Mus musculus: one gene and its partners. The protein of the gene in region 7 interacts with the protein of the main gene of each other region in a biochemical or structural test. Links are inferred from orthologs where the notes say so. Each region holds a gene or a part of one and is shown on either strand. Other genes may lie near its edges. The genes, in order: Pink1, Ube2j1, Eif4b, Mfn2, Ube2v1, Rnf41 and Prkn.

Region 1 (3,500 bases), on a different chromosome or scaffold from region 7:
CCAAAGAGGCCCAGTTCAGAAGGCTAGGCATTGTCCTAATTCTGGCAAAGCAGTGTGTGGGTGTAGCGCCACCTAGTGGTAAGCCTTTGTGACTGAGGCGCCACCTAGTGGTTCACATGTACTGTCTCCACGGGCGGGAACACTATTGACAGTGGCTGAGAGCCTGAAGTGCAAACTCCCGTAGCCCTAACCCTTCTACTTATTTCTATGACTTTCTTAGCTGCCTGGCTTCGGTCCTATGTGTCTATTCGATTTTTCCAGGTTTCTCTGGTTGACAATTGGTTCTGTATTCTACCTCTGGTGCCTGTGCCAAGGGTACTAGCTGAAATTCTGCTGGGTCTCCAGAGACACCCCCCCCCCCAGACGACTCATGGCTCATGCATGCCCACTTGGCCTCTGTCCGGAAACCTCGGACTCTGCTCCTTGCTGCCTCTCCCACCTCAGGTCTCGCCCTTGCCTGTCTGTACCCTCCCCACTCCCGAAAGCTCACCCCGTCTTCCTCAGAAGCCAGAGCTCTGACTTTCTGCATTGCTCAGGCTGCAGTCTCTGCACACTGCAGACAGACCTAACTTGGACCAAATCTCCCATCTCCCCACACTGCCTTGAAGCTACTATGACACCTGCCAGGGTGCTGCCAGCCTCCTGCTGAGGTCCTGACACTCCGTGTCACCATTCACCCAGGGCAAGGACAGTGCTACATAGTGCAAGGACCCACTCCTGTGACACAGAGGGGCAGTACAAGAACACACATGAACTAGGCCCCAGGACAGGGCAGTTATCCTCCCAAACTTGGCTCATCACTGGGGACTCCTCCACTCTCCTCTGCACCCTTAGCACTGGTGCTCCTCTCTGTGGCTCTTCTGGTCCTGCAAGCCTTTGCTTCCAGTCGCCTTCCCTGTGTCCCCTAAGAGAAGTGACCTACCTGCCTGTTCCTTTTCCCAGCAGCCATCAGGATCTCAGATGAACCCATGAGCACCCTGACCTTGGTTCCTAATGCCCACTTTTGGTCCAGTCAGCTTTGGCAGAGAGGCAGAGCCACCCTGTCCACAGTGCTTTGTGGGGCCCTGGCTGTGGGGCATCCTGCAGGGGTGAACAAGGGCCACCAGGTGGCAGCACTACAGCGAACTGCATCAGTGTTGGGGACTCATTTGGGAAAGAGGATGCTAGTCCCTGTGAAGGGGGAGATGACTTGGGCTGGGTCCCTGTCCTCAGAGAGCTAAAAGAATTACTCTCGTGTTGGATCTCAAAGCGGCGACTCTGCTCTATACATAGTTCCAGCATTGTAGCTAATGCTTGGCTCTCTGTGTGACCATAGTAAATGCTAACAGAGCATCAGCCTTGCTGAGTCCCTGTGCTGCTGAGCACGACTGTAGTGCTCTGTGCGTATCAACCGCCTTGTACAGAGCATCGCTGAGTCTGTATTTCCCACTCTGCCCTGAGCTCAGAGGGAATGAGTAGCATTGCCCAAGGACTGAGTGTGGCAGTCGCCAGGGTCTCTGAGCCACTGTGTTCCACCATGTGAGATGGATAGATGGGCCAAAGGGTGGGCTAGAATGGGAGAAGTCACCCCTGTTGGGGTGCAATAGCTGGAAGAGAGCAGACCTGCAGTGGATATGGCAACTCTGCCTGAATGGGTGCCTGAGGTGGTGGCCTTAGCTCGTCTGCCCAGCACTTGTCTCTGATGCTGGCCCCATCTGCTGTTCCATTTGCCTGAACAGAAGATCCAGAGATGGTCCCAAGCAGCTTGCCCCACACCCTAACATCATCCGGGTTTTCCGCGCCTTCACCTCATCTGTGCCCCTCCTGCCGGGGGCCCTGGCTGACTATCCTGATATGCTGCCCCCACACTACTACCCAGAAGGCCTGGGCCACGGTCGCACACTGTTCCTCGTTATGAAGAAGTAAGTGGTGGTGCTTGTGTGGGGGCGGGGGTAAGGATCGTGCAGCAGCCTCTCCTGTCCCATGGGAGCTGGTCTGTGCTTGGAGCACAGGGAAGAACAAAGCACGCAGAAATGAGAGCCGTGTAGGAGAGAGCTGGGTTAGAATGAATGATAGATCATCTCATCTTCCAGAATGTGCGCTTGGCACCTTGGTAGCTCCTCCCTCTATGGCGTCCTCTTTCAGTGCCAGCTAACTTCAGAGACGGCGCTGAGGAGTTGGGGAGTGACACTGGCATGGCTTCTGAGATTTGGGGTCAGGGTGGATGAGATCTGAAAGGATGCCTGGGAATAAAGATAGGAGAAACTCCAGAAGGGGAAAGGCCCAGTCCTAGCACGGAAGGAGGCCATGGAAATTGTGATCCCCAGACATTCTGTCCCCTCCTGCCAGCTACCCCTGTACCCTGCGCCAGTACCTTGAGGAGCAGACTCCCAGTTCTCGCCTGGCTACCATGATGACCTTGCAGTTGCTGGAGGGCGTGGACCATCTGGTTCAGCAGGGCATTGCCCATCGGGATCTCAAGTCCGACAACATCCTTGTGGAGTGGGACTCAGGTAGCTGCTGGCCAGAGCCACAGTGCTCTGGACACACCCAGAGTGCTCCAAGAAGGGGCATTAGAGACCCTGAGGGCAGTGTGTGTGTGTACATGTGACATGCACATGTCGAGGCCAAAGGTTGGGGCCTGGCCCCTGTCTCCTTCTCTCTCCCTTATGTTTTTAGAAAGGGTCATTCACTGAGCCTGGCGCTCACTGTTTCAGTAAGGCTAGCTGCCCACCAAGGCCCTGGGATCTCTCTCCATCACCCTAGTGCTGAGGTTATAGCTTTGACATGGGTGGTGGGGATCCAAGTAGGTCCTCACTACTCTAACCACTGAGCAATCTCCCCAGCCCTCTGAATATTCTGTACTGCCTTCTTTAGCTCTACTTCAAGAGAGGACTCCCCTCCATCTCATGGGTAAGATAGGCAACAGCCCTCTTACAGTTCCTGGGGTCTTCTCTGTGGCCCCCTTGCAGAACAATACCATCTGTCCTGTAGTTTTTGAACCAGTGAGAGGTAGGAGAGGTAGCCAGATTGTGGCTCAGTGAAAGCTGCCCACACAAACCCCTGGCTTCTCCATCACTGGCAACATGCAGTGAGCATGCAATGAGAAGCCCTGCCTGGGATGTTCTAGAGGATTGCCGGGCTGGAGAGATGGCTCCGTGCTTAAGTGCTCCTCTCTTCTGGATGGCCTGAGTTTGGTTCCCAGCACCCAGGTGGAAACGCACAGCTGCCTCTAACTCCAGCTCCAGAAGATCTGGCGCCCTCTTCTGGCCTCTCCGGGCACCAACACACATAGATAAAAATAAAACAGATCTTTTTTTTTCCAGACCTGAGGAACTGAACCCAGGGCCTTGCGCTCTACCACTGAGCTAAATCCCCAACCCCAAAACAAATCTTTTTAAAAATTAAACTTAAAATAATTAAATGTGTCACTAGAAAGCTTTCTTAGGAACTCCAGGAGCCTTTCTCTCCCAAGGTCCATTTGTTAGATTATTGGCATTACAAACTCAAATGTAAGACTC
Region 2 (4,299 bases), on a different chromosome or scaffold from region 7:
TCATCTTTTGTTATTTGCAGCATCGCCAGAAACTGGTTTAAGTTTGTTTTTTATTTTTTAAAGTTATCGTCAGGATTATTATAAAAAATAAGATGAAATTCTTCCAAATTTTAATTTGGGATGGAATCTTTTTGTTTGCTGAAAATTGTTACTTTCTTCTAGGAGGGAATTTGTTCTGAAGAAACAAAGTATTCTTTTGACAAACCTACATTTCTGGGAAAATTAATCTTTCCGACCCAGTTAACAGTCAAGCAATTAGTAACTTTTAGCATTTACTCCTTTTTTAAAAAAAAATCATATTTACCCTCTCTGTACATGTTTATATTTAGAAAAAAATTAAGAGTTGACTTTTCTCTTGCAGTGATTATAATTAAGCTTTGCCATGGGCCCATAACTCAATGCCGGATTTGTTGCTGTCTTTTACCTAAGGAAGAGCCCCCAAGGACGAGGTGATGTGGCTTCAAGAATAAAATAAAAGAGAAACATCCTTATCTCCATTGTTGGGAGGAAGAGGAGAGCCTCAGGGCAAAGTGCCTTCCGAGTCTGGCTGGCGGGCGGATGGGAACGACTACACCCCCTCGGCAGGCCTGGTCATGGGGCCGGTCGGAGCAGCGCAGGTTGCTGGATGCTAAATTTGAGGACTGAACACAAAGAATGAAAGCTTAATGGAGAAGCACATTGAAGCTCGGTTTTGCTTGCTTCTCTATTCTTCAGATTATCACCGTACTATTCAGAAAACATCGCCTTTAATGGCTTAGAAGATGCCACTTAAATCTTTTTTTTTTCCCTCCTCCTTCAGACGGCTGGGAAAAATTACTGACATTCCCACAAACACATTTGACAATGTTAAACAAGAACACTAATCTGTCTAATTGGTTAATCTTCATTCCACCTATAACCTTCTCTAATCTCCGCTGGCTCCCTCCCTTTTTTGAGGCCCTTTTATCTCGGTAAGCCGTCCGAACCAGAACCTTACTTTCTCTGTCCTCCATGATCCGAAAAGACAAACGCACCGCATCTCTTTCAGACCGACCTGTCCCATTTATGCGTTTTTATTAACATTCCAGGCGACCCCTTGGTTTTATTTCTGGGAGGTTCTGATGCACCCCGAAAAACGCTGCCTTAGCTAACCGCACCGCGGAGCTAGGGGCCACTCCCGTCCATCGCACCGAGGCCAACTGCGGGCTCGGAGAAGCGCACATCACGGCGCCGCAGTCCCAGGCCGCGCTCGCCCGCCCGCCGCTCCGGGCTGCGCCGTTCCTCCGAGCTCCCTGCGAGCTCCGCGGGAACCCCTGAAGGGCCCGCGGCGAGTCGGTCTCCCGGGCTGGGCCGAGGGGACGACGAGGGTGCCGCCCGTCTCCCCAGGGCTGCCGGGCGGGCGGGATTCGCGGGACCGCCGCTGCCGAGTGACCGACCGCCACGAAGCGCCCGCCACGTCAGGCCGACTTCACAGACCCGGCGCCGGCGGTGACGCAGCGGCGCGTCAGCCGGGACGTCAGTCCCGCAGGCCGTCCGCAGCCCGGCGCCCCGTTCGGCGACGCCCCGGCGCCCGGCCGGCCCTCAGGGAGGCGGACCCCGCGGCACGCACCTCGCCCGCGGTCGGGCTGGACTGGGCGGTGTCAGCGGAGGCCCTCGCTAGGCGCGTCCGCCGCGCGAGACCCGGGCAGCTGCGGCGCCGACGAGAGCGGCAGCGGGGACGTCCGCCATGGAGACCCGCTACAACCTGAAGAGCCCGGGTGAGCCGGGCTGGGGCGGCGGGCGGGCGGACGGGCGGGGGACCCGGGACTCAGAGCGCGGCGCCTCGGCCCGCTCGTGTCCGCCGGCCCTCGCGGCTGCTCCGGGCTCGCGCTTTACGCGAGGCCGCGGCCGGTCCGGGGGTGCAGGCCGCAGAGCGGGCGGCCGCTGCGGATCCCCCGATGCGCTGGCGCTCCTCCGCTCCTGGCCTCTTCCTCCCGGTGTCTGCGGAGCGAAGCAGGAGACAGCCGAGCCAAGGGCAGGTGCGAAGGCGACGACGGTCCGCACTACTGACCATCCCTGGCCGCATCTGCGTCCTTCGTGTCCCCTCCGCCTCTGCCGACGAACTTTTGTTAGGTGTTTGACTCACATTTGAAATATCCCATTTTTATTGTGGTTGAAATATCCAATTTCAGTATTTGGGGGAGAATTTATAGACGTAGAAAAAAAAAATATGTCCTGTAGCTAAACTAGTTGAGCTGTGCACTTGGGAATTAACCATGATTTGGGGGGGTTGATTGCTACTTTGAATTTCTTTCCTTCAGTTAATGCCCTCAGACAATCCTGGCCTCCAGTTATTTTCTGGTGCACTAAAAACAATGCCAAAAACAAAAAACAAAAAACCCATTATCAGTTGTCATATCTTTTAAGGCAGACGTAGCACAAATTACTGGAGCCTAAAAAATGTACTTTGATAATTTGTCAGGGGGAAAAAACTCCTCCCTGTTAGCTCTGAATAATAAGCCTCAGGGTATTGATGATCATTGAACTAGAACTCTCGTCACCGTTTGTTTTCTTTCCCACACTGCTTCTTAGTTTGGACTTAAGTCTGATATCTTTATGGGAAAGAGTTGGTATTGTGAATCTTTTTAAAAATATATATATATTTTAAATTTTTAGAATATATAAAGGAAAAGCCAGAGAATATTGGCTGAACAGAATGTTGTTAGCTTGAATGCTGATAAGTAAGTGGCCTTAGGGACCAGATGTAGAATTAGTCATTTCTACGGTGTTTGTTTAAAATTTGACCACGCCTGTGTAAGAATTATATGGCTGAATTTTAATGGGACATGTCTCTGTCTTCAGCCCATCACTTAAAACCTGAAGAGTTAAAAAAGGTCAGAGAAAGTAGAAATGCCTGGATTTTACCATTTTGATGCCAGAATGATTAAATTAGTTGGAATTTTGTTGTTGTTGTTTTGAGACAGTTTCTCTGTGTAGCTCTGGCTGTCCTGAAATTCACTCTGTAGACCAAGCTGGCCGAGATCCTCCTGCCCCTGCCTTCCCAGAACTGACATTAAAGGTGTTTGCCACCTAGCTAAATTTGTTGGACTTTTAAAATCAAACTGTGCAGTAAATTGTACAGTACTTAGTCACACCTAGAGCAGCAGAGGTCCTTAGGCAGATGTCCAGAGAATAATGCAGTGTGAAATGTTGTCAGGAAATTGTTCAATCTTTTTTTTTTTTTTAACAACTTCCTTTTATCTATCTTTTTATTTATGTGCATTTTTTTCCCTTGCATGTATGTCTGTGTGAGGATGTAAGATCCCCTGGAACTGGAGTTATAGACAGCTGTAAGCTACCATCTGGGTCAGTTTATAAGGTCTTCTGGAAGAGCTGGCAGTGCTCTTAACTTCTGAGACCTCACTTCAGCCCCAAATTTCTCCTTCTTGATAGGCTATTGTACCCAAGATTATGATAAAATTTAAGCAACTTTAGAAATTTAATACATTTCTAGATGGGTATGGTGATTTGTGCCTTTAATTCCTGCATTTGGGAGGTAGAGGTAGGCAGATCTCTGTGAGATCCAGTCTGATCTACTTAGTAAGTTAATAAATTTTGAAAGTAAGTTGGACTTCGGTTGACTCTTGTATCTGTTTACAAATTCTCTTCTCTAGGTGATGCTATTCTTTAAAAAGCTTTAAACTGTCTTCCCTGTTGATGTAGGTGATTTTGAGTTCGTAGAGAAGGTAGTTTCAATGAACTCTAGAAGTTGCCAAAGTGCCGAGAAGTCTGGTGATAATGCTTGCTTTGTTTTAGTCTCAAATCTTTGTTACTTGTAGATTACTGACTGTGAGAGGAAGTAATCGAAACATCTCATTTCCTGTCTGCTAGTGTTGGGTTATCTCAGAGATAAGGATGGGAAAATCTTGGAGGACACAATACAGACTATGGTTAACCGTTGTGTCCTGCATATGGTAACTTTGTTCCATCGTACCAGAAGCCTGGGAATTATCCTGTTCATCCTGTTGGTATCAACCGAAACTTCACACTAATCAGACTTTCCAGTGAACCCAGACCATATCAACTGGTCTGCATAGAATATGTGATTGAACATTTTTACAGATTTCCCACAGATCGAAAAGGTCTCTGTGAGTTGTAAAAACCAAATTCCTTGGTATCCCAACCTTCTTCAAACTCCTCTATTTCCCTCAGATATCCCATGGATTTATAGCATCCAGGGAGCTGCTGCCCTTCACGTGTTAGGCATCTGGTCTCCCACAGAGACACCTTTCACAGTGGTGCCAAGACAGTCTTCAGTCTTGGTCAGCTCCTTTACCTCTG
Region 3 (3,451 bases), on a different chromosome or scaffold from region 7:
GCTCTACTTCCCTACCCCCATCAACGTTCAGCTGTCAATTGTTTTATTGTTGTTGTTGTTTAATGTTCTTTGATGAGCTACCTTTTCTGCCAGAAGAGGGCAGGAATGACTTCTTCAAAGAGTATTTAAAGCTGCCTCTTCCTGGTAAAGCCTGCCTTTGTGGAGAAATTGGACAGGAATAAATGTGTCTGTCCTGTCCAAGTTTGAAATGTCACCATTAGTAAACCAAGGTCACTACAGAACAATCTATCTAGTTCCTATTTCTGTCCTGCTTTCTAGGTGATGGTCACTACAGTAGGACTTTTAATGGGAAAAAAAGGCTTTAGGCTGGTTTGGAGTGGGGATAATTCCCCTTCATACGTGTTTCCTTCAGCTTAAAGGAAAGCAAGGACAGGGAGATGAGTTACTTTCTAACCCTTGAATTTGGTTTTGTGTTTCTGTTTAAACAGATGGAAATAAAGTGGATGTGGTGGGTGCCACACAAGGCCAAGCTGGAAGCTGCAGCCGTGGTCCCGGGGATGGAGGGAGCAGAGACCACTGGAAGGACTTGGATAGGTATCTATATTTTTTTTCCTCACTGTTTATGAATCTTGTAGTGTTAGACGCAGGGAATCTTTATAAAGTAGTTCTTGGCTTTCTCAAGCATTGCCAGGTTTACCACTGTGAATAAACTAGAGTCACGGTTAGATTTGCAGAATCTAAAAATAATGCACTATCCCAGCAACACTATTGAATACCTATTGTGTCTCTGCAGGAAGGATGGCAAAAAAGATCAAGACTCCAGATCTGCGCCTGAGCCAAAGAAACCTGAGGAGAACCCAGCCTCTGTAAGTGCCATGTGCCTTTCCTCTTAGTTTTGCGTCTGACTCCTTTTGTCTCCAGTGAGCACACTTAAGGTGGGGTTACCTTCCTCGGCTCTCGGAAAGAGGATGTGTGCGGCCGTCCACTCGTGCCCCTGACCCTCCCTGCTCTCGCAGAGGAACGGGTGTGGTCTGGGCTCCCATCCATGATCCGTCCTCTCCTGTTACAGAAGTTCAGCTCTGCAAGCAAGTACGCTGCTCTGTCTGTGGATGGCGAGGATGAGGATGAGGGCGACGACTGCACTGAGTAGGACCTCCGCACCCTGTGCTTTCTCCTAGTCTCCACCCCGGAACATTCAAGAGCAAATCAAACCTCTATCCAGACAAGACAAAATAAACTCACCATCTCCTGAAGACCTTTCTAAACTTTTTTTTTAATGAAATGAAATTCTTTTGCATGCTGCTGCAGCCTTTTAAAGTATTGAAGTAACTGGAGAATCACCATTGTAGCCAGAGACGTGGCTACCGCTTTTGAATGGGGAAGTTGTGTCTGACAATACCAAGCAGTTACTGTGTGACTAGTGCCTGGGGCTCCATTCAGCAGAATTGCAGTGACAGAGAGGCAGTCACATCAGTTAGGCAGTAGAAAAAGGTGCAAAGCAGAAGTGAGATTTCTACTTTCTAATTCTTATCCTGAGATGGCACCTGTGAATACCCAAACATTACCTGAATTTACCTGAATAAATTTCCCATCCTTAGAAAGGTAGCTCTAGTCTCAAGCTGTTTTAGTCTCCAGGAGGCTGCCAGCCCCTCTACTTTAGTTCTGACTTCAATGGGGCCAGCCTAAGGGGGAATTGTTTTATTTTTTTACCCCCCAAGGGGGTAGTTGGGAGTGAGTCTACGGGGCACTAACAAGTAGTTCCCGCTTGGGGACCAAGATGAACGGAAACTCAATCGTGGTTTGGAAAGCTTTGGGGAGGTGACTAATTATATTTTATACCCGGTAGTGAGGGAAACAGTGTGACCTCCAGTAAACACATACATAGAATGGTCATTTCTGGATGAGGAAGCACTTAACAGGTAGTGAGAAGGCCTGGCTTTGCCCCTTCTAAACTCTCCTTTCTAGAGGTTGAAATATACCCATATTATTTTGAAAACCTTGTCACTCTGGTCATCTCATGGTCTCCATGACACTTAGCCTCCCAGAGCTGTCTGTGAGTCACACACCTCCCACAGACACTGTATCTTAGCCACAAAAAGCCATGGCCTGAGGACTCGCTGCTTTTCTCAAGCAAGCCAGTGAGTTTTCTCTGTGCTATCTTTGATTTCTGCCTGCTCCTGCAGCTTTCAGCCTCAACTGATGGGCTTGGGTGGTGAATAGGGGTGTGTAAATGGGGTGAGTTGGAGGTCTTCAGCCTTGAATGGGATGTAAGGTTTCTATAAATCTCCCTCACTGGAGCCCCACGCTGGTGCTTGTTTATAATGTATGTGACCCTGACTGGTTTTCTGCTTAGGAGGGTTGGCTTCTTTACTCCCCTCAAGAATAAAGGATAATGCAAAGAACGATTGAGCAAGGTCCTGGTTTCTCTTGCAACACTGTAGCTTGACCTGTCTGCTTTGATGTGCACCTTTGTAGGGGTCAGCTCCAAAGATGGCGAGCCTCCCTGTTGTGGGTAGTCAGGTACCTGCAGACAGAGGATACCTTGGTCCTAGGCCTGCTGTGCAGGAGCACTGATGTCCCGTGCTGCAGCAGTAGGCACAGCAAATCGCTTCTCCGGTGGATTTGATTGGCTAGTAGCTAGGAAGTGGGCTTTTGCAGATACCCACAGTTGAATGGGTTTTTTTAAACCATTGTTGTAGACAATGAGAAGGTAGTTTGCCCTCTTCATGTCTATTTCCCTTCCAGATAGTTGCATCCGAAGACAGCTGTTTTGTCCCACTCTCCTACTTTGCTCCTCTGTTAAAATAAAAACAGGGGTTGACTTATGTCCCGCTCCTGAATACATGTAAAATTTGTACAAAAATATCTTCTATGAAAATGATTTGTAATCTGTAGACATTACTTGGGAGATGTCTTGAGATGTAAAATCCCATCCTTTGGGTTGAGGGTTTTTTTGTTTTTCTCCAAATAAATCCAGTCTTTAAAGTTGATGGTTAATGTTGCAGTTTATCGCTCTTTCCCCCCCCCCCCCCATGCCTCTCCTTTCCCCACCCCTTCCTTCCGTTTCGCACAGCAGTATGTGAGCTGTTGCAGGACAGTGGGTAGGCTCACCAACAGTGGAGATGGACCTCTGTGCATGGAGCCCAGGCAGGGTTCGCCGTCCTGGTTGACTTACTCCAACCCCCAGTGTTTGCCTCCTTGCAGTCCATGAAGCCACGTGGTGGGCTTGCCTAGCAAGCTGTTGGGCACTGATACAGGGAACCACCTCAAGAGATATTTCAGACTTAAGGGAGCTTTTCAAAGCTGGTCATCGCTGAAAACAGGAAAATGAGTTAGGATAGAGACAACCTCTAGAGTCACGAGGAACTGGAACACATTTGAGGGACTTGTATCCAAGATGGGGATGATGCAACTAAAAGCAGCTGCTTGTCTAGGGTTGGGTTTGGTTTGATTGATTGGTTGGGGTGTTTTGTTTTTTATTGAGGAAAGG
Region 4 (3,500 bases), on a different chromosome or scaffold from region 7:
TCCAGTCCTTTTGTGCTCTCCTCAGGAAGGTCCTTTAATCTGGGGAGTGGGAGCACAGGAACCCACCATCCCCCAGGACTGGGTGGGACTCCTTTTCTGCTCTAACTAACATAGGCCCACACTATCTCATAGTCTCTCCAGTAGAAGGGAATTGTTTGTACATGGCTCCCTGAGCTTTCCTGGACTTTACATTTCTCATATTGTTTTTCTTTTTTCTTTTTGTTCTTTTGAGACAGGAGCCCATGCATCCTGCGCTGGCCTCAAACTTACTAATAGCCAAGAATGACACTGAACCTGATCCTCCTACACCCTGACTCCATCTCTAAAATGCTTATAAAATGATTCTAGGATGTCACTACCACAGCCAGTACGTGTGTACTGGAGACGAGCTCAGGGGTTCCTATATACTAGGTTAGCACTCTGAAAACTGAGCATATCACCTGTACCCCATCACGTTTTAATGTCCCTTTAGTCCAAGCACTCATGAGGCAGAAGTAGGCAGATCTGAGTACAAGGCTATCTGGACTATATAGAGAGTTCTGGGCCCACCAGAGATGCATAGTAAAACCCTGTCTCAAAAAAAACAAAACAAAAGAAAAAACCAATTCATACTTGCATACATACATACATACATACATACAATAAAACAAAAAAAAAGGAAGGTTCAAGTGGGATATGGTATGTTAGGGTGGGGTCCTGAGGCAATAAAATCTTAAGTTCAAGACTAACCTGAACTACATAGTTAAGAATCTATTGGAAATAAAACAAAACCAAACCCTGGGCCAGGGCTGCAACTCGGTAGTAAAGAGCCTTTCTAGCTGATAAAAGGACTCAGATCTGAGCCCTGTACTACTGAAAATTAAAAACAAACACAAAGGCCAAGACCTCCAACAAGGAGCCTGCCTTACTGTGCAGGCTGGGTGGGATGATGAGACACCAGATGGCCCTCCTGACCAGTGTGACTAGGTCTCTATTGTGGCCTGGGCGTGGGCCCATGGACTGAGCTCAGCATTAGGGGTCTGATCATACATGTAGGCTCTCACCGCTGCTCCTGAGCTGCGATGTGCAGGGAATCCATGATGAGACGAACGGCCTCTGCAATCTGCTTGGCCCGGACTGTGTGCTGCTCAAATTTGGTCTTTACTGCAGACTGGGAAATGCACTCCTACAACAGAGAGAGGGACTGAGGGAGGTGGGGCTGTCACCTCCACGGCCAGGCTAGACAGAGCTGGGAAGGACAGGAGGACCACACACCAGAGTCAAAGACTTACCTCAAACTGCCTCTCGAAATTCTGAAACTCAAACATCCTCACTTGAAAACCTTCTGCGAGAGCGCCGCCTAGGAGAACGGCAGTGCTGATGAGGAAACTGCACGGTAAGTGATTGGGGAGATCCTTCTCTGGGATACTTTTCTAGCCCTGTGACCAAAATCACCTGCCGAGAAGCCACTTCAGGGAGGAAGGCAGGCTTATTCTGGCTCTCGGTCTGAGGGGAGACAGTAGGTCATGGTGGAAAGGAACAGCAGCAGGTGCCTTGCTTAGGAGCAACTTGAGGTTGCTGGCCCATAGCTCACTGGGCACAGACATGGAAAGAAGGGGTGCTCGGCTGGCTTTCTCCTTTTTACTCAGCCCATGATAAGCTGCAGCTCACCTTCAGGAAGAGTCATCCCTTCTCAGGCAAGCCTCTCTGGTAATGCCCTCAAAGCCATGCCCAGTGGGAGATCTCCTAGGTGATTCTAAGGACAAGAACCTCCCTCCAGGCTCTGCTCTCCACCTCACTGCCAGCAGTCTCCACCACACACCCAGGAAGAGACGCAACACTGCAAACACCAAGTAAAAAGAAGCCAGCAGCTCACAGTTACCTCCTTCTGGCATGCCCTGGGCTTTCTGGACCCTGGCGCTGAGAACCTCCTTGGCAGACACGAAGAAGATCCGGTCCCCAGCCTGAGCTCGATCCACCACGCCCAGCTCATCCACCAGAAAGCTGGTGCAGCGCTCCATGTGCTGCCGCCGCACCTGGGCCAGGCAGACGGCTGTGCATGAGCAGGACAGTGGTGGGGAAACCCGATCCACAAGGCTCAACAAGCACAAGGGATGAACGCTGGACAAGGAAGGGTCACCCAGCACCACCTCCCCAGCTCCTCCCTGGGGGTTCCTGAGGCACAGAACAGGTCCCAGACTGCCTCAAGTTTTGAAAGTCGATCTAATATTGTTCTTTGACATCCCACAAGGAAGAGAACCTAAATGCCCCTACACTGACAAGCCACATCTCCCAGAACCTTGATTTATAAAACAAGTCGTCACAGTGGGCAGTCCCAGCTCCATGTACTAGGCTGGACTAGTAGAATTTAAAAGGGTAGCCGGACGTGGTGGCGCACGCCTTTAATCCCAGCACTCGGGAGGCAGAGGCAGGCGGATTTCTGAGTTTGAGGCCAGCCTGGTCTACAAAGTGAGTTGCAGGACAGCCAGGGCTAAAAAAAAAGAAAGAAAGAAAGAATCTCCTGTCCTTCATTTTCTTAAGCTTCTTCCCCAGTGTCTTTCTACAGCCTGTTTCTGTAGATCCTGAGCTTCTGTAAACCAGTTACTGGCCCAAGCACAGCAGGGATGCTCTTAGGAGAAATCAAGAGGAGGGAAGGAAAATGAATGGGAGGGGAGCGGAAAGATTAAAGCCACCAGCGAGTACATGGGCAATCTGGCACTGACTTTAACTGAGGCTGCCTGGGACACACAGCAGATCTGAGTGGTCAGTGCTCATGGCTCCTGGCAGTCCCCAAACTGCTGCCAGCGAGACACCTACCTCCTCCATGTACTCAGGCTCCGAGGCAGACGCATCCCAGCGGTTGTTCAGGATGAAGATGTTGGGCCGGGAGAGACGTTCACTCACTTTGTGGAAGAACTGCTTCTCCTAGACAAGGGCAGGACCTTGATGGAGGAGGGGGCCTGCCAGCCCAGGCCCCACTAACCACCTGTCCAGCAGGCCCAGGGACAAAGCGAAGCAAGAGTTACCGTCTGCATCAGCGTGGACTCTGAGTTGGCCACCAGCACAAACACATCAGCATCCAGGCAAAACTTATCAATCCAGCTGTCCAGCTCCGTGGTAACATCGATCCCAGGGCTTGTGGTAACAGGTGTAAATCAGTGTGGTCAGGCACAGGGCTCGGGCCCCAGTGTGAACTTCCCTGGGACTTGCAAAGTGGCAGGAGTGGGAGGGGAGGAGGTTTCTGCCTCCCATCCCTGTCCTTCCAGACCACTGAGGGATGCCCAGTTTGTTTTTAGCACCTATCACTTTTTCCCCTTGGTATTTCTACACAGCCCTGGCTGTAGACCAGTGTGACCTTGAACTCAGACATCCTCCTGCTTCTGCCTTCCAAATGCTAGGATTAAAGGTGTAGACCACCACCCAGCAGCACCCATTACTTTTATAAAAACAAAATGACTTCTAGTCATTCACGTCTCTAGAGATGTAATTACAGCACCTGCTGCCATGCCCAACTCTCAAGT
Region 5 (3,500 bases), on a different chromosome or scaffold from region 7:
CAGTAGGTGTCACTGTGTGCATAGGAGCAACTGCTTTGTGTGCAAGACTCCTAAGGAGAGGGTGCCCCCTGCCTGATAAAGAGGCGTGGCCCCTGGTCCAGGGCACAGGTCCCATGTGGAAGGTCTCTGCAGTGTTGTCTTTAGGCACAGTCACAGAGTAGGGTGCTTGCAGCCAGGTGTTCAGGGCTGTGTGATGTTTCCACTCGGGGTGGATGTTCCACACATGATTGGGCTGGGCCAGGCACAATTTGCTGTTGAACATTACAGGTGCTGGTGTGGGCCTCACTTTCCTGTGGGTCTCTTTTTGTTTGTTGGTTTGGTTTGGTTTTTTTGAGATAGGGTTTCTCTGTGTAGCCCTGGCTGTCCTGGAACTCACTCTGTAGACCAGGCTGGCCTCAAACTCAGAAATCCATCTTCCTCTGCCTCCCAAATGCTGGGATTAAAGGCGTGAGCCACCACGCCCGTCTTCTTATGTATCTCAGTGAAGAGATGGTTGGATGGTTGGCTTTGTAACTGTGGGTAGAGGTCAGCAGACACCTTTTGTAGTCTTCCTCCTTCTGCTTTGACAAGCTTGCATGACAAGCCCCTTACCCTCTGAGCCATCCCCACAGCCCTCAGCAGTTGGTGTTTTCATTTATTCGCGATAGTGATATTCATAGCCCAGACTCCTAAGGCCTTCAAGGTCACTGTGTGCCTGTGGATGATCCTCAGCTCGTGGGGTCACAGCTGGGTACCATCACGCCCAGACACAGTTGACCTTTCAGAGTTGATGCTGTCCCTGATGGTCTGGTGCCTCAGCTGCCTGGCCTTCTGCTTCACTCACTTGATGCTGGTGGCATCTTAGGTCACCATGACTACATAAGAGAAAGAATGCTCTGAGGGCAGATGGCATATGCTACAGAAGTGGCCTCAGGTCGGACTCATTGACACTTAACCCTAGTTTCCTCCTGTGTCTGTCCTGTGCTTCCGTCTCTGAGGCACCCACGACAGGCAGTCTGGGGCAACGGTGTCTCCCAGGTGTTGGAAGCTGTACCTCTCTTAGGTCTCTGTAACTTGTCTCTATTCCTTTTTTCCAGACAATCTATGAAAACCGAATATACAGCCTTAAGATAGAGTGTGGGCCTAAGTACCCAGAGGCACCCCCGTCTGTAAGATTCGTAACAAGAGTCAATATGAGCGGCGTGAGCAGTTCGAATGGAGTGGTGAGTCCCCCACTGCCTGCCTGTAGGTTATCACGGTGCGCTTGTGTCTGCAGCGTTGGGCAGGGCCGCTCCATTGTGGCTTGTCACTGCAGGAGCCCTGCACTGGCTGTCAGCCGGGCGTGGTGGCGCACACCTTTAATCCCAGCACTTGGGAGGCAGAGGCAGACGGATTTCTGAGTTTAAGGACAGCCTAGTCTACAGAGTGAGTTCCAGGACAGCCAGGGCTACACAGAAAAACCAAGAAAAAAAGAGTGTTCAGTGTCCATGGCACCATGAGGTAGAGTTGGGAAGTTGGGGCTGAGGCAGAACTATTCCCATATCTTTACCTCCTGTGTCCTGGCCCCTGCCATGGGATATTTTTTAATACTGTTTGCTTGTGCAGCCCTGGCTGGCCTCCACCCATGGCAGCCCTCTGTCTGAGCCCCTGCATTAGCGTTGTCCATGGCCTTGAAGGCCTGACCTTGAGAGGTCAAGGTTGCAGCGCTGTCTACAACTGCAGCCCTCTGTAGAGCTCAGGCCTTACACAGGCTGGCCACACCTCGGCTGTAAATCCCCAATCTGTGTCTTGCTTGCTAGAGGCTTGGAGGCGCTGTGCCTGTCCTGTCCTAGGAGTCTTCAGAAGATGGGCCAGAGAAGTAGAAATTAGCATTCCTGCCACTTGTCCTATGTTGTTCTGTGTTGGAGCCACTTGTCCTATGTGTTACTGTGTCGGAGCCACTAACTCCTTAGTGACCTAAGAGACCTGGGCACCATGGCTGCTCTTGCTACCTGCCCCACCCTGGGTACACATTGGAGAAAGGACAGGGCATGGGCGCCAGGTGCTTGTTGGTCAGGATGGGCCCAGTTTGGCCAAGTTAAGTCTCCCTGTGTGCCTCAGGCTCTGCTAGTTTTCTTCATGCCAGGACCCAGAAAAAGGAGGCAAGACTGTCTGCAGGAGGGCAGCTTGGCCCAGCCCATGGGTTTGATGGGCCTGTGGGCTGGGCATATCAGCCCCGGGGAGGGCGGGAAGGTTTTGCTGCTGAGTCTACAGTAATGTGTGCATTTGCCTCTGCGCAGGTGGATCCGAGAGCCACGGCAGTGCTGGCAAAGTGGCAGAACTCCCACAGCATCAAAGTCATCCTGCAGGAACTGCGGCGCCTGATGATGTCAAAAGAGAACATGAAGCTGCCACAGCCGCCGGAAGGACAGTGTTACAGCAATTAGTCACCAAGGCCCCGGCCTCCCCTCCCCATCCAACCCAAGTCTTCATTTTCCACAGTAGTGAATTTTCTAGATACATCTGTAGACCTCAAAGTACCGGAGAGGAAGCTCCACTCAGCCTTCATCCTGAGACACTGTTCTGATACTAACTTCTCGTCCATTTGAAATACCTAAGTTGTGCTGTGTAACATCAACTGTTGAGTGTAACCGCTGTCTGCCTGGTTGAACTTCTGGGATCAAGAAGGTGTTGAAATCGGTTTCCTGTGGGAGCGGTGGGCACAGCTAACGCAACTGTGAACAGACACGTCACACAATCACCTGCTGCTGGCCCTTGGCCTGGGTCTGCCTTTGCCCGCCCCGCCCTCCGCCACAGCTGTGTGGTGGCCCTTAGAATAGATGGGAAGGCTTCAGGTAGCAGTTGTGGGACTGACTACTGCTGGGCTTGGGGCGCTTTGGCTGCACCCCTGCTTCTTAAGTCTTAAGTGATGCCCCATCCAAGCCATGGTCCCCACTCCTCCACTCCCACCCTTGGCCAAAGCTTAGATTGTAACCCTCCCCTCCCTCTGAAATTGGCCGCGGGTGAGGAATTCAGGGCTTCCCGTGTCCCCACCTTTATCAAGGGGTGCTGCTTCCCCTCCTCAACTCCCCTGTTGCCCATCACCACCCAACACTTGCTGTGGCCAGAAGCCATCAGATGAGGTTGGAATTGCCTGGCCTCCCTCACTTAGCTCCGGACCACACTCACCTGCCACCAGCCTGGGAAGGGAGCGCCGGGTCCTCAGCCCTGCTGCCACCGTCAGCCCTCGAGCTTTGTGCTCAGGTCTAAGGTAAACAGCAGTCACAGGGCGACTCGGACCGGCCAGCGCTCAGGGTCCTTGGTGAAAAGATGCCTAGAGAAAGGCCATGCGGAGTCCTCAGTGCACACGGTTCTGAGTTGGTTCCTTTTCCCATCATTGCTTTGCTTTTACACATTGAAGAGGTTTGAACAGGGCTCTCGTCACCCTGGCCACCCATCGGGTCTGATGTGGAGCCTGACAGCTGGAGCACGAGGCCCTGACCCTGCAGACTCAGGTTTCAGTGTTGCTCCTCAGACCCTCT
Region 6 (3,500 bases), on a different chromosome or scaffold from region 7:
TGTCTGAATGGAGTGGAAGGAGGAATCTCACCCACAGCCCTGCTCACAGGTCACAGGCCGCTTCGGGTTGTGCTCACAGTCACTGAGGTGGGACATGAGGTTGTCAAGCCTGACAACAGCACTGCAGCCAAACACAGCGTTGTCACAGGCAATCTGTAGCTTTGACAACATGTTCCGCATGATCCGAGGTACTGGGCGCAGGTGGGCAACCGTGACAACGCTACGGTCTACCGGACACGTCTGCTGCTGAGAGAACCATTGGGTGATGCAGGCGTTGCAGAAGGCATGCTCACAATGAGGCGCCTAGAAGGGACAGTAGGGGGTAAAAGGGACACAAGGGGATTAGCAAGAGCTGAGAGCCTGGATCCAGTAATTATGAAGCCAATGAAGCCTGCAAGCAGATTCTAGGAGCAGAGGTCCAGGGCTCACAATCAAGGACAGATCTTTTTGGGCAGAGCATTTTCAGGTCAGGTGCAAGACTCACTTCCTGTGCTCAGGAGTGGAAATGAGTTGAGAGACAAGATAAACAAGCAAACGGTTCTGTAACAGTAAAAGACTCACAGGACACTGCAGGAGTGGAGAGGACAACACAAGGCCATCCATCACTAACAGCCAGCAGGATCTCACTCACACACAGTAACTGCCAAGTAAGGCCAGAGGAAGGTGAGCCCTGCCGGCAAGGGCGACCACAGCAGATCCTTATGGGGAAAGGTGTGTTCTGTACACAGGGCTTCACGAATGACTCAGACACAGCGTAGGGACTACGGCAGAGACTCACTAACCACCACAGAAGTGAGAGAGTACGAGGGCTGCGTGTGGCCGTTCCCAGCTCACAGGCCGAGGAGGAAGTCTTGTAAGCACCTGCCCTACATGGCAAGAGCTGCCTCAGAAAACAAATGGAGGTGGAGAGGGGACTCCCAGGTAAAAGTGCTTGCCACCAAACCTGACGTGAGTCTGATCCCTGGGATCTACATGGTAAAAGGAGAGAACTGGCTGCAAACTACTGAGTTCCATATGTTCCATGGACTGTGTGTGTATTCATGAGCGCGCGCGCACACACATACACACACACAGACACAAAATAAGCAAACGTAAGAAAAAAAAATCCAGGCAGGCTGGTGCACACCTCTAATCCCAGCACTCGGGAGGCAGAGTCAGGTGGGTCTCTAAGTCCCATGCCAGCATGGTCTACATAGTAAGACCTTGTCTCAACAAAAGAACAGTCCCTCCAAACTCTCAAACAAACAAACAGGGGCTGGCAAGACAGTTAACAGAACTTGCTAGTCTTCCAGAGGACCCAAGTTCAGTTCCCAGCACACACACAGCAGCTGATAACTACCTCTAACTTCAGTTTCAGAGGATACAAGAGTTCCTTTGGACCTCCTCAGGAACCTACACACATGGCATGTCCACCTCCCCACACACATACAAAAATAAAATATTTTAAATATATTTTAAAAAGGAAAGAAAAAAAAAAAAGACCCAACAACAAATCACATAGGAAAAGTAAGGGAAACTCTCATGAGATTTCTCTGTGTAGATTCAAGATCTTTCTCTATGAGGCCTGTCATGACCTTTCAATGAGGTATGGCCCCTGAGTCACAAATGCTACACCAGGGCTCCTACATAGGACTAGCATTTTCTTTTTTTTTTTTGTAGAATGACACTGTTCTCTGTTTCATAAATATCATGGTGGGGTGGGGGTGGGGAGTTCCAGCACTTAGGAGGCTAAAGAGAGGCAGGAGGATCCCAAGTTCCAGGCTAGTTGGAATATATAACCATACCCTGTTTCAAAAACCCTAGTAACCCCTCCCCATTCCCATGATATATAAAGATGTCCCTTATTTCTTTGAGAAGGCTCCCTGGTTCCCTGGTTCCTGGGAAGACACTACCTAGCATTCAGCCATGGGCAACGAACAGCACCTGAGTCAGGTGAACTTTGCATTTATTACATGTGCCCAGAACTGGGAGTGTGTAAGTGCAAGTCACATGCACCATGGAGCACACATGGCTGTGAGGCCCCTTTCCACAGCAGGTTCCAGTGATTGATCTTAGATCATTAGGCTAGTGCAGAATGCACTTCAAACCCCTGTGCAGTCACATGTGCTGAGTTCACTTCTAAGAAGCTCAAAACCCAGGTTGGGGACACGGTGTGGCAGGTAAAGATGTCTGCTACCAAGCCTGGTAGAAGCAGAGAATCAACTCCCACAGAGTATCATCTGATTCCATATGTGTCACAACCCACTGTGAACACACGTGCAAACACACACACACACACACACACAACACACAAGAATAAATATGTGATAAATGTAATTTAAAATGTTAACTAAAAGGGTATCTAATTAAAAAGCTAACTCTGAATATATATATATATATATATATATATTCATATATATGGATGTGTATATATATATGTATATGTATGTGTATGTATGTATACACACACACACACACACACACACACAAAACCCTTAACATATGACTCGTCTCAAAACCTTTTTTTTTTTTTTTTTAAATCTTTTCCCCTGTTTTTTTTTTTTTTTTTTTTTAAAGATTTATTTATTTATTTATTTATTGTAAGTACACTGTAGCTGTCCTCAGACACTCCAGAAGAGGGAGTCAGATCTCGTTACGGATGGTTGTGAGCCACCATGTGGTTGCTGGGATTTGAACTCCTGACCTTTGGAAGAGCAGTCGGGTGCTCTTACCCACTGAGCCATCTCACCAGCCCAAAACCTTTTTTTTTTGAGACAGGGTTTCTCTGTGTAGCTGTGTAGCCCTGGCTGTCCTGGAGTCAATTTGTAGATGGCCTCGAACTCACAGAGATCCACTTGCCTCCCAAGTGCTAGGACTATAAAGGCATATGCTATCAAACCTAGCCCTCCATGTTTTTTGAAACTCACATGCAGGCTATCCTGTCCTTGAAGTAGCTATATAGGGAAGGCTTACCTTGAAGCCCTGAGTGCTAGGTTTATTGGCAGGTGTCACTCTACCTGGGTTATCTTAAAGAATAAACAAACTATTTAAGAAAAAAGAAAAATAAATCGGGCTGGAGAGATGGCTTAGAGGTTAAGAGCACTGACTGCTCTTCCAGAGGCCCTGAGTTCAGTTCCCAGCAACCACATGGTGGCTCACAACCATCTGTAATAGGATCTGATGTCCTCTTCTGGTGTGTCTGAAGACAGTAATGATGTACTCACATATATAAAATAAGTAAATCTTAAAAAAAAAATTCCCAATGTGTCTACTTTTCTCCATCTCTATTGATTCAAGCTCGTATGGTATCATCTCTTACCTGAATTGTCAAGTATGACTTCCAACTGGTTTCTCTTGCCTCTTAGTCTACATTTATCAGTCAGAATGATCACCTCAAGCAAAGCAGGGCTGGGGATACAGCTCAGTGATAGAGATCCTGCCTAGAAAGAACAAGGCCCTGGGTTTCATCTCTCTAGCACGAGAGAGAGAGAGAGAGAGAGAGAGAGAGAGAGAAAGAGACA
Region 7 (2,508 bases):
GGACCCAGGAGCTGCCTCCGCTGCTGTCTGGTTGTTCACTCTGGGTCAGTCTCTCTGCTCTCATTGCTTGAGGTTGTTATTCACTACAAGAGCTGTTTCTGGAATGGCAGGTTGGCACGGGGAACAAGGGCTCGCCCGTATTTGTTACAAACCCACAGCGTCTATGTCCTTTGTCCCCACAGGAGGATGTATGCACATGAAGTGTCCTCAGCCCCAGTGCAAGCTGGAGTGGTGCTGGAACTGTGGCTGTGAGTGGAACCGAGCCTGCATGGGAGATCACTGGTTTGACGTGTAGAGAGAGATGTCACTTGGCCCTGGACGCACAACCTCAAGGGAAACTCCGAAGATTCCTACCTTCCTTAGCCATTTCTTCTTCTCGATGCATATAAGCACATAAATGCGCACACACAAACACAGGCTGCAGATTACAGAAGCAGCCCCTAGATCCTTTCCAGGGCACCCACAGAAAACCACAGCACCCGCTGGCCCCAGGGGGAGGAGGCACTTTCAGCCTCTGGCTCACTCGAATGTCAGAGCTTAGATGAGGGTGCACCTTTGGTTTGGATTCTGTAGAAGCCATGAGTGAGGTGGGAAGTGTTTTCCAGGGTTGTTGCCACGCCCTGGGTAAGTAACACCTCTGAGGATTCTCAGAAGCACACTTGAGATCTGAGGAACGCTGCTCTCATGTAGTAATCATCTATTCCCAAAGGGCCCCCTGCAGTAGTCAAAACTATTTGTTTATCCCCCCAAATCCTATCTTTACAAATGGTGCTGATGAGATTACAACCCCTCTGTGTACTAATCAGCTTATCAACCAAGTGAGAACCTAGGAAAGCTAATTGGATGGCAGACTGCTTAAATCGCAGGGAGGACTCAGAAGCCAAACCTACTTCCGTTCGTTTCATTATCTGCAACTTTAGAAAGAAATGATCTTTTTTTCCCCCTGAAAAGATAACAAAGTCTGCAATTTGGTTTGGAGTATTCCTACTGCAGCCTGGAAGTTTAGCTTCACTGTGAATTTAACAGAGAAAGTGCCTATAAAGGGGGCGTTTTTAAGAGACAATCCCATGATGCTGCGCCAATGCTAACAACAGGGTCAAGAAACACAATGTTTATAGAAGGAGCATCCCTCGACCATCTGAATGAGAGTATGCCTGACCCCTTCCACCACAAGTGGGGACACCTCTGCATATCTGCTCCCTCCTCTGCTGTTAAGCCCCAGGGAGCCCCATCCACCCAGTGGTCCTACAGACAGGGCAATACACACACACCAAGATAGCCTTCAGATCAACATGCATCACACTCAAGTGTTAATCTTTCAAGGTTTTCTTTTCTTTTTCCTGTTTTTTATTTGTTTTGCTTTTGCTTTTTTTTTTTTTTTTTTTTTGGTGGTGGTGGGGCTACCAAACTTGAGGCCTAGAGCTAAAAATCATATAGAAATGATGTTATCTTGTGGTGTGAGGAAAGGCCAGCTGGCCTAAGTTCACACTTTTGTCCCAGTGGCCCTAGACTCCACCCAGCCAGCTCCCAAAATGAAAAGACCACCTGTCAAGCAGCAGTCAGGAGTCTGATGTCACCCATCACTATTTTTTTTCCATCATTGTGCTTGCCTCTGCCTCCTTCCACACCCGTGTGACGTAATCGCATTGGGAAGCCAGGACAATGTTTGCTGTTCTGCTTTGGGTAAAGGGACTCCCTGAAGCTCTGTGGCTCTCCAGTATGGTCCCTTTTCCTTCCTAACAGATGCATATGTTTTCTTCAGAATACAATAGTGATTCTTAAAATAACCCAAAAGACAGGCATCCACAGTGTGTGAGCATGAATCACAGCCTGCATTGTGTGAGTGTGAATAGTGGGATAAAAGTGGATGTCAGAAGAGTGGAAATCAAACCTCTGCAAAGCAATCTTTCTCTTTCTGTGAAGTGTATTAAGAAATACCTGAAGTCTGTGTGTGTGGTGGTACCCAGACTGTCAATCAATAAAGACCCAGACTGTCAATGAAAGAATCAAAAGCGTGTTTGTACCTATCCTTGGGATTGCATTTCTGATCAATTTTGGAGATGTGGGAGGGAAGATGGGCCGCATTTCTCTGTGACCTCTCATATGTGTTTATAGAAGGGGCATCTCTGGATCATCTAAACGAGAACTTGGAAGCATCAGCCACTGGGGGGGGGGGGGAATTGGTCTCTTTTCTTTCCATAATTAACCTTGGGGGCTCTGCTCTCCTAATTATCAGTATTTCAAAACAAGATCTCATTCTGAAACCTAGCAGTCACTTTCTTGCCTTGCTCACAGACTTGCCCAGATAAGTGTTAACAAGGGAAACTGGGTCTGGAGAGTCTGGAGAGATGACTTAGAGGTTAAGAGCACTTGCTGCTTTGGCAGAGGACCAGAGTTCAGCTTGAAAGTACCCAGAGGGTAGCTTGCAACTGCCTAAAACTCCCATTCCAGGGAATTTGATGCCCTCTTCTTATTTCTATGGGCTCCTTCAGGCGCATGGTACTCAGG

Evidence for each region.
Region 1: of the proteins of Prkn (region 7) and Pink1, one has a biochemical effect on the other in vitro, tested with the Homo sapiens proteins (12 studies listed by BioGRID, with this or other methods). The link is inferred for Mus musculus from reciprocal best matches to the Homo sapiens genes PRKN and PINK1.
Region 2: the proteins of Prkn (region 7) and Ube2j1 form a complex in vitro, tested with the Homo sapiens proteins (4 studies listed by BioGRID). The link is inferred for Mus musculus from reciprocal best matches to the Homo sapiens genes PRKN and UBE2J1.
Region 3: of the proteins of Prkn (region 7) and Eif4b, one has a biochemical effect on the other in vitro, tested with the Homo sapiens proteins (2 studies listed by BioGRID). The link is inferred for Mus musculus from reciprocal best matches to the Homo sapiens genes PRKN and EIF4B.
Region 4: of the proteins of Prkn (region 7) and Mfn2, one has a biochemical effect on the other in vitro, tested with the Homo sapiens proteins (2 studies listed by BioGRID). The link is inferred for Mus musculus from reciprocal best matches to the Homo sapiens genes PRKN and MFN2.
Region 5: the proteins of Prkn (region 7) and Ube2v1 form a complex in vitro, tested with the Homo sapiens proteins (4 studies listed by BioGRID). The link is inferred for Mus musculus from reciprocal best matches to the Homo sapiens genes PRKN and UBE2V1.
Region 6: the proteins of Prkn (region 7) and Rnf41 form a complex in vitro, tested with the Homo sapiens proteins (2 studies listed by BioGRID, with this or other methods). The link is inferred for Mus musculus from reciprocal best matches to the Homo sapiens genes PRKN and RNF41.

What each region holds. Positions count from the first base shown.
Region 1 is NC_000070.6:138,316,297-138,319,796, reverse strand, and holds part of Pink1 (serine/threonine-protein kinase PINK1, mitochondrial precursor), read left to right. Parts: intron 1-1,718; coding exon 1,719-1,901; intron 1,902-2,328; coding exon 2,329-2,492; intron 2,493-3,500. UniProt on the Homo sapiens protein: Serine/threonine-protein kinase which acts as a sensor of mitochondrial damage and protects against mitochondrial dysfunction during cellular stress.
Region 2 is NC_000070.6:33,029,881-33,034,179, forward strand, and holds the start of Ube2j1 (ubiquitin-conjugating enzyme E2 J1), read left to right. Parts: upstream 1-1,499; 5' UTR 1,500-1,705; coding exon 1,706-1,736; intron 1,737-4,299. UniProt on the Homo sapiens protein: Catalyzes the covalent attachment of ubiquitin to other proteins. Functions in the selective degradation of misfolded membrane proteins from the endoplasmic reticulum (ERAD) and is essential for cells to recover from ER stress.
Region 3 is NC_000081.6:102,094,223-102,097,673, forward strand, and holds the end of Eif4b (eukaryotic translation initiation factor 4B), read left to right. Parts: intron 1-449; coding exon 450-555; intron 556-754; coding exon 755-827; intron 828-1,030; coding exon 1,031-1,111; 3' UTR 1,112-2,951; downstream 2,952-3,451. UniProt on the Homo sapiens protein: Required for the binding of mRNA to ribosomes. Functions in close association with EIF4-F and EIF4-A. Binds near the 5'-terminal cap of mRNA in presence of EIF-4F and ATP.
Region 4 is NC_000070.6:147,884,410-147,887,909, forward strand, and holds part of Mfn2 (mitofusin-2), read right to left. Parts: intron 3,115-3,500; coding exon 3,006-3,114; intron 2,905-3,005; coding exon 2,797-2,904; intron 2,016-2,796; coding exon 1,862-2,015; intron 1,340-1,861; coding exon 1,272-1,339; intron 1,166-1,271; coding exon 1,044-1,165; intron 1-1,043. UniProt on the Homo sapiens protein: Mitochondrial outer membrane GTPase that mediates mitochondrial clustering and fusion. Mitochondria are highly dynamic organelles, and their morphology is determined by the equilibrium between mitochondrial fusion and fission events.
Region 5 is NC_000068.7:167,608,006-167,611,505, reverse strand, and holds part of Ube2v1 (ubiquitin-conjugating enzyme E2 variant 1), read left to right. Parts: intron 1-1,076; coding exon 1,077-1,202; intron 1,203-2,258; coding exon 2,259-2,405; 3' UTR 2,406-3,500. UniProt on the Homo sapiens protein: Has no ubiquitin ligase activity on its own. The UBE2V1-UBE2N heterodimer catalyzes the synthesis of non-canonical poly-ubiquitin chains that are linked through Lys-63.
Region 6 is NC_000076.6:128,432,116-128,435,615, reverse strand, and holds part of Rnf41 (E3 ubiquitin-protein ligase NRDP1), read right to left. Parts: intron 3,420-3,500; exon of another isoform or gene 3,299-3,419; intron 304-3,298; coding exon 32-303; intron 1-31. UniProt on the Homo sapiens protein: Acts as E3 ubiquitin-protein ligase and regulates the degradation of target proteins. Polyubiquitinates MYD88. Negatively regulates MYD88-dependent production of pro-inflammatory cytokines.
Region 7 is NC_000083.6:12,061,359-12,063,866, forward strand, and holds the end of Prkn (E3 ubiquitin-protein ligase parkin), read left to right. Parts: intron 1-182; coding exon 183-295; 3' UTR 296-2,008; downstream 2,009-2,508. UniProt on the Homo sapiens protein: Functions within a multiprotein E3 ubiquitin ligase complex, catalyzing the covalent attachment of ubiquitin moieties onto substrate proteins. Substrates include SYT11 and VDAC1.